2 linked regions of the Bombyx mori genome follow. The protein of the gene in region 2 interacts with the protein of the main gene of each other region in a pairwise test. Links are inferred from orthologs where the notes say so. Each region holds a gene or a part of one and is shown on either strand. Other genes may lie near its edges. The genes, in order: nuclear receptor subfamily 2 group E member 1 and B-cell lymphoma/leukemia 11A.

The links.
Region 1: the proteins of B-cell lymphoma/leukemia 11A (region 2) and nuclear receptor subfamily 2 group E member 1 interact in a two-hybrid assay, tested with the Homo sapiens proteins (2 studies listed by BioGRID). The link is inferred for Bombyx mori from reciprocal best matches to the Homo sapiens genes BCL11A and NR2E1.

The regions. Positions count from the first base shown.
Region 1 is NC_085107.1:4,787,162-4,791,427, forward strand, and holds the start of nuclear receptor subfamily 2 group E member 1, read right to left. Parts: upstream 2,809-4,266; 5' UTR 2,349-2,808; coding exon 2,333-2,348; intron 1,813-2,332; coding exon 1,576-1,812; intron 1,495-1,575; coding exon 776-1,494; intron 1-775. UniProt on the Homo sapiens protein: Orphan receptor that binds DNA as a monomer to hormone response elements (HRE) containing an extended core motif half-site sequence 5'-AAGGTCA-3' in which the 5' flanking nucleotides participate in determining receptor specificity.
Region 2 is NC_085124.1:5,042,754-5,047,138, reverse strand, and holds the start of B-cell lymphoma/leukemia 11A, read left to right. Parts: upstream 1-1,417; 5' UTR 1,418-2,545; coding exon 2,546-2,582; intron 2,583-4,385. UniProt on the Homo sapiens protein: Transcription factor. Associated with the BAF SWI/SNF chromatin remodeling complex. Binds to the 5'-TGACCA-3' sequence motif in regulatory regions of target genes, including a distal promoter of the HBG1 hemoglobin subunit gamma-1 gene.

The sequences.
Region 1 (4,266 bases), on a different chromosome or scaffold from region 2:
GGATGTTCAGTTATAACTACTGAACCATGCATCCGATTGACTTGAAACTTGGTATCCATGTAGAAAATACATGTACGTAATGGATAGGCTAATATTTATAATGGACTCCCTAATAATAATGACAATAAATAATAATATTGATTTTAAAAGCCCAGCGAAGCGGGCGAGTACGGCTTTTATTTTATAAAATTAGTGATAAGCGTCAACTTTGCGTTCTTTTGTTTTCTAATATATTTTAATATTTTTGGTCTCTTGAAAATAGATTCATTCTCAGTATCTTCGGATTCGTCTTCTTAAAATCTACTAGATATTACGGCGCCTTAGGAAGAAAATCGAAGAGAGAAATCAACATAATTACTTCAGTAGGCCGCGTAGGGCACCGGTGACCTACACGACAGTCAACGTGTTAATTCTATGTGAATCATGAACCAACCATCGGCCACTAAACAAAGCAATAAAAAAAATTAACATTAAATTATACAGTTTAATTATGGGTACTTTCGGGCCGGGTGCGATCCAGAGTGGCTTCTTTGACTAGCCGATGCCTATGCGCGCATTGCTATTTGCGTGGACCTATAAGTTACTTATGACGACGCTTGTAGCTGAAAGTAAGTATTGTACTTTTTGACGAAGCGTGTTGCGGATAATAATATGTACTTTTAGATTATTAAACTACCTGCAATTGTGTTTTGGTGTGCAATAAAGAGTTTAATAAAATAAAAGTGTTTATGTTATTATATATCGTATGGAAAACCTTTTAGAATTTAAAACTCACCTCATTTAGTACTAATTGCGAATGGTCTTGTAACGCTGCAACCGCGGGGAGATCTTGAAGCCTCTTATATTCAGAGCCTATCTGTGACTGACCTCTGCATAATATATTAACATCTACAAAGCTCGTTTTGAACAGTACAATTGCTCTTAAACAGGCATACTCGTTACTATCTGGATGGACTTTAACAATTTCGGCTAATGAAGTTTCGAACATTTCCACGTCTCGGCTATCTATTCTGGCGTTTCCTTCAGATAGAATCTTGAGGTCCAATGGGTACAAAAACTGAGCTGAACCGATTATGAACAAATCCTTCCAAGATTCTTCCAATAACAGTAGCCTGTCTGGTAATGATAATGATGCGAACGCGGGAACATTCTTTGCCCATTTAACGTTCATGAACAGTAATCTAGCTGCAGCTTCGCACATCGCTTCTGGATCCTTTGGAGATAACAAGGCAGCTGTGATAGGTGGAGGCGAAGGCGCTTTCAGTGATATGTTGACTACGGAAGGATTAATCATATGAATTCTATTGAACGGGTACGGATGTTGGAATAAGGAATTTTGCGGCGGGGACATAAAGTTGTGCTTGGGTACCGCTAAATCTAATGGAGGTGGAACTGTGAGTCCCATTTCTGGTGTTGGTAACGCAGGATCCTTCAAAAATAATGCCATTTGTCGTCTAATCGTAGAGTTTCTAGGACCTCTTTCATGTTGAACAGCTGAAAAAAATCTGCATATAAATTATCAAAGCTAGAGGAATTTTATAGTTAATTTATATTCTGTTTGTTTTTGACGCCTACCGTCTTTATTCATTCCAGCGTCCAGGCATTTGGCAAGTCTACACGCTCGACACTGATTTCGGTGTGCTTTATCAACCACACACCCGCCAGGGTTGCGTGCCTTGCAGGTGTAGCGACGGTCTCGCCTGACGGACCTTTTGAAAAAGCCAGCGCACCCGTCACATGCAAATACGCCGTAATGCTTTCCCGACGAGTGATCGCGGCACACGGCACATGGCACATCGTACAGAATGCGACCTAATTGAACAAAAAAAAAAACGATTTTGTAAAAATTAACCTGACCCTACAAACAATTATTATTAGTATTTGTTCTGAAGAACAACGCCAAAAATTTACAATGATAATTAAGATGACGTTAAAAAGTTAAACCTGCAGGAAGTGTAATTATATTTAAAGTACTCATCTAATCTTGTCTCATCACACCGAAAATTATAATTTAATCTTAAATTGTTACATACCTATATCAGAAATCTATATTCTAAACGGTACAAAAAAAAAGTTTTAAAGATTAATAAATCAACGTCACAATTATTTGATTTGAGGACAATGAGATCGACGTCCGGGGCAGGGTGGGCTAGGGCTCCGCCCCACTAGGGGAGGTGCCTGTAATTTATAGCTATCGGTGCCCTTGAAACTGTCAAATGAGCAAAGTAATTATCGTCAATGATTTGAGGTTGGTTTTATCGTTAATTATGAAGGGTCTCAACAAAAAGGTTCATCGGATTCCGGACCTTGTATATGTATGTATAATGATGACCTGTCATTGATTCCATTTGGCGCAATCTAAAGATTTTCTTTCTTGACAATACACGCTCACTTGTTCAAACACTTTACTTAAACTTGTTTTGTACAAAAATCCAATATTACCGATACACCAAAACGAACATTACCTATAGTAATGAAATAAAATTGTCTAAACACAACGCAGCAAATGCTCTGATTCCTGTTTAACAATACGCATGTTTTTTGCACTTCATAATTTGTTCGAAACGGTCCCACGATAGATGTTTAGCATTTATAAGATAATACATCTTTTAATACACCTCCAAACACGGCCGTAGTCAAAAAGGCATAAAGGCATTCAGTCAGAGCGGTTTTGTATTAACGTAAGCACTTGCGAGCATGGCAGGAAACGCGGTGTCGAATGAAAAGGTCGACAAAAACTATTACTATACAAAAATACGAGACAATGCAGTTCACTACAGCAAAGAGCTTGGGAATGTCTCAATAAAACGGTCATAGATAATGACAGTTTTCGTATTTTAAATAATTAGGGTAGTTTTACATGTAGTAATTCTTTTAAATGTATAAATAGTTATAGGTTTGCAAGTCCATTAAAATTCTTGACTACCTACGAATTATTATTGTTTTGCTTCAACGCTTAAAAATAATTTGATAAGGATAACGGATACATTTTGATATTTGTTATCAGAGTAAATGGGTCGGTGAGATGATCTCGGTTTGAAGGGTGGGGCACCCGTAAAACTGAGACTTAGGATTCACGTGTCAGGTGGATGGCGGTATTTACGTTCTTGATGTCCATGAGTTCCAGTAACCACTTAACACCAGGCGGGTCGTGAGCTCATTCACCCATTTAAGCAACAAAAAAGTACAGTAACAACGGTTGGCTCGGACACACACGCACACACACACACACTGAATTCCAAAACGCACACTCAATCTTAGGTGAGAATTGGGGTAGACGAATAAAATGACGATACTGGTGGTATTGCTCGTAAGATTGGATGAACTATGAGAAAGATCTCATCGTCAGAAGATAATTGAGGCCGTCAGCGCAAAAGTGGCCTAAGCTTACCATAGTTAGTATGGAGGCAATTAGGTTTGAATTTTCATGAATTTGAAATTGAGTAAGCAAAAAAACAATACGCGCAAAAATTATGTTGACAAAGCTATCTATTATCTATGGGTGAAACTAAGGATAGGCCGGTTTTGCATCAAAATTTATTACATATATTTTAAATAAATTCGAATATACGTCATATAAGCTTGAATATAAAAAAATTGTGGTTTATGCCACTTTTGCGCTGATGGCCTAGACTAATTGAGTCTAACAATATCAAAACTTTAATATTTACATCGAATATAAAAAAAACTATCCCATTTTAAATGAACCCTAATGACGCTTATCAGTTTTACCCGTGCGAATGTCCACCTGCAGGGTTGTTTCATCCCGTCGCGTGACGTTTATCCGGGGAAAACAAAACGACTGGTTATTAATTACGATCGTCGATGGGAAAAAGAGCACTTTGTAAGTAGCCATTTGGTAACAGATAGATGTGTTGATATTTTCCCACGCATCAACGGGTATGTTGTCCCTTAATTTAGAAGTAATAAAAGTTGTGTATATGAAGTGTACCATGTAGGTGTTAGATTAGTTCATAAAAAATCAAAAGTACTGTTCAATTATATTAGTAAATTCTAATATGCAAAATTTTCAAATAAATTTATCCCATTAACGTGACAATCCATATCTTAATTTATCAACGATCTTTAGGTAAATAAATAATAATAATAAATTGCTAATACACAACAAGCAAACAATTTTAAAGATTATTTTTATTATTCCTGTAAGTATTCTTTCTGTAATCATTTTTCTTTAGTTTTAATAAAAGTTAACAAATATAGCGTTGTCAAATTTTATCAAAACTCTGTTCTTTAGTGAAGCGAAAA
Region 2 (4,385 bases):
CACTATCCCTTTCCACATACTCACGTACTCCCACACATGAACGAGACAGCCGTACATCTAACCTGTTACTCCCGGGTTTCCGCGAAGGAAAACACCCAACCCTTGAGTCGTCTCAATTTTCAGTATCCACATGTATACATATGAAAGAGATAGTATTATTTTATATCGCGCCGGACAGCTGTAGTGACCAGTTTAACTAAGTTTGGAATAAATAGCCTTTGGGGGTGTGTTTGGTCAAGCGGTACTTAAACAGTTCCGCGTTAGAAGACGAGATAAATAATGAATATTTCAAATATTTTTTCTCTCCTGACAAATTTATTTTTATTTATTACTTTCATAATATCGGAATAAATAGGAAAACAGATGACGCAGTGTCATAAAAACAGACCTTAATCAAGCGATACTCTAAAGCGTGGAATTGCATACGAAAATTTAAATTTTTGCCGCAAATAATCCAAAACAACTGAACGTCTGATAGCCCTGATAGATATTTACTTCTTCTACAACACAGTCAAACAAAACACAATCACAAACCTAAAACAATCTCGACATTCTTAAAACAAAACAAAAAAAAAAAAAAAACAATTCCAAAATCAAACGAACCGAGATTCGAAATTTTCAATAATCGAACGCCGTCAAAGTCTGGAAACAATTATGAAAAACTTCGTTTTCGTGGCTCGTTCTCGCGCCGGTTAAGTCTCGACTGACACTCATAAAACTTATTAAAGTCAAGGACCGACCGAGATAAGTTGTTCGTGGCGTCTTAAGTAAAATAACGTTGAAGAAAAAACGCCGGAAACTTTCAGTGGAAACGACAGTTTGGCTACGTGTTGCGCTTTTACTCAAATTAGACGGGTTTTTAACGTTTAATTTAGTGATTGGAGGAGGGTTATTTTTCTTTTCTGCAATTGTTAAGACGTTTCTTTTTTTTTTTTTTCGTAGGCAAACGGAATAATATCACGCGCGTATATAACAACATAATGAGATTTATAAATCGTAAATGATATTCGCTTTAGACGCTACTTATGAGAGCGTAAATAAAATATGCAATCAATGCATTTTTCCAAATGTTTTGTTGCTAGGGAAAAACATTGCTAGCTCGCGTAGCATGCGTAGCTCAGTACTACGGAGGTAGAGTCTGGTAATGTTTTAAAAAAAATAATGCTTATACAAAAAAATAAAATAATGTATTAAAAGAACCGGGTACCTAATTTCATAAAATGGACTTTATTTAATGAGATTTAGTGAAATTTATTGGTAGTAAGACTAAATGCATCGTTCTCCAATTTCCTGAATTTACTTTGGACATCCTAATAAAATTTTGGACATATTTTACTTATAAAATCATACTTTACGTATTTACCGTTTTATCGTTCAGGCTCTTAAAAGTTAAGCCTCACAATAAAAGTACCTCACAACTTCAAACGAGCACTCAAGTTTCGGAGCTTTAAATATAAGCACGCCCTGAAACTGTACACTGACCGCGCTTACCGTCCCTTCAATTAAAAATTCCATCTTCTAATCGAGTCATGAAATATGCAAGCAAATATTATCCCTTTTTCTTTTGTACGCGTTGCATCTTCGCCCCACCCGCGCACGCACACCAACGCACGGCACTTGTGATTTGTAGCCGTCTCTTTCGGGAGCATGTGTGAGCTGATCGGCGTCGGCGGCAGCCGTCTCCGTCGAACAGCCGAGACGGCGGCGACCGAGAGTAACCCCTGGCTACTTCGTATGGACTCGCACGCGGCATCGTCGGCCGGCGGAGCGAGACGGCGCTAGTCGTGGACACGCGGAGGCCGTGGAGCCCTCGCGTGAAGGGACACAGGACAGACGCTCTCGGACACCGGGCGAGAGCGGGCGGCTGGCCTCGCACCTGCCTCGCACCGCACGCGACACATATACGATCGCGATCGCTCTCGTAAACATTACGAAATATTCACGTATATTTGCATAAAAACCATTTTATTTTAATACATTAATAACGTTCGTAAATTTATTTTATTATTTCGAATATCGACTATAGAAATTTCGACGACGGACAGTGACTGAAAATTTGTTATTTCAAGTGAAGAAGTTTAAACAGATGTTAGTAAATGGAGTGTGACCAAGCGAGCCGTTTGCCGAATCGCAGGATCGCCACTAGGCGCGGATAGATTAGATAGTGCACTGAGACGCTCATTCAAGTGTTGATAAGGCCCTATTTATGACCAGTCGATTTACGCGAAACATTCAACTAACGTGTGAACTGATTTGCCGCAACATGAAAAGGAAAAAGTAACTTAAGTACTGTTTGTTTTTCCGTGCGATGAGTACTTTAAGAAAATGATTGAGCGCTCTAAAACACCGTCGGACACTCGTAGGAGGATTTGTGATAAGTCGACCTCCGTTATCAGAAACGTTTTATGAACACGATAAACCGCTGGACCGGCGGCGGCACATGTGAAGTTTAACGAACTGTCTTCTGATAGAGACATATTAAGATAAATTGTTTCTAAGGATAAAACAAGTTGTCGAAGATCTAAAAATAGGTGACCAAATCAAGATGAGAATCAAAATGCCAGCTGTACGCATCGCGCAAGGTAAGGCCCCGATAATGATTTATTTTTGTACGAAAATTGTCTTTAGCGATATCGAATAAAACACGTCAATCATTGTGTGATAGTGTTAATTTATGTTTTCGAACATTTTTAAATAATACGGACGCAAATATTAATGATGTGTTCAAACAAAAATATCGTTAAAATCTAAACCTAAAATCTAAAGCGTATGTTGTAGAAATATATTTTACTTGTTCAAGGAATCGCAATTCAAAAATAAATAACCAAAAACAAACATCTTGATGTGCATCTAACTTATTTAAACATGTTTCAATGTGAAACATGTACATAATTTCAAAAATGATTTATCTTTACTCTTTCATGATTCTTGTTTATCTAACGGTGACCTGATAAATTTCTCTGTTATGGAGGTTAGACGTGAATCAAAATTTGTAATCCACTTTTTATTTCTAGAGTAATTAATAAATTAGAAACTAAATAGAACATAATATATGTTATACATTTTACTATTTTTAATAAAAAAAACGTAAAGAAAAATCATTTTCTCGGTACAAATTTAAAAAGTATTCGAACGCCAGATTTAGAAGAAAAAAAAAAACTCGCAAACACACATACGACGTCATCCCATCTGAGAGTCTATTCATACAACGACGAGCTACTTATTACCCCGTCTTACGTCAACATTGACATTACGAGGTGGTCACCATTCGTCCGAAGGGAAAATGAATGGAGTGGCCGCTTTCATACATTCTCGGACAGTTGATGAGTATTTTTTAAGGGACAATGACGGAATAGACCGCTGACTTTTAAAAGTTGACGTTCAAAAATATTTCATTTTGTTACATAAATAGGCAGACGAAATCTACCGCTATTTAGATGCTTCAGAATTATACTATTTTATTGTTCTGTAAAAAAATTAAGCAAACTGAAATCAAGAAATGAATGGACACATTTTTCGAAATTTCAGACTCCGCAAAAAAGACAGTCCTGTGAAAAAGTGTTCGTATTTTTTTTTAATATTGCAAAAAAAGAACTTAATATAATATATTACTAACTAAAAAATAGATTTATCAGCTAATTATCAACTTAGTTTGCTGTAACCGTTGATATTGTATTTATGGATTTAGTACCTCGGTACTGCTAATTTCTGAAATAATTGTGGAAACGTTAAAGGTGTTTTAAGTTGTTAAGGTTCAGCAAAGAGTGAGAATTCAATTGATAAGAACCAAGTCAGTCACGCTAAAACAATAAAAATGAAAAAAATCGTTCACCGACGAAGTTCATAAAATGAAATCCAATATACAAATATTAATAATGTAAGAACCGCAATGACCATTTGCTTTTTTACAAACGTATGGCTACCTTTTTCTTTATTTCTTTAGACAGCCACTTTTGTTACTAAAATAATAATACAGTTTTAATTTATTCGAATAACACATTTTTCGAGGTCACGGTTGATTAAGATATTATTTATTTTAAAGCTTAATTTTCAAAAACCCGTCAATAGTTTGTATAATTATTTTTGATTCTACTGAAATCGAAGAATGAAGACTCTATATTCGATATAACGAATAACTCCATCTTGCTACCTCCGATTTATCCTATTTATCAGCGTGGATTGAAAGTCATGGCTTGCCTTAACCATAACACCTACAGTAGATCTATATTGAAATAAGACCTCGAAATCTCAAATAATTATTTTTCTTTACAATAAAATTGTGATACGTAATAACATCTAACAGATCTTTGTTCTACTATTAGATTATTTTTTTATTGCTTAGATGGGTGGAAGAGCTCACAGCCCACCTGGTGTTAAGTGGTTAC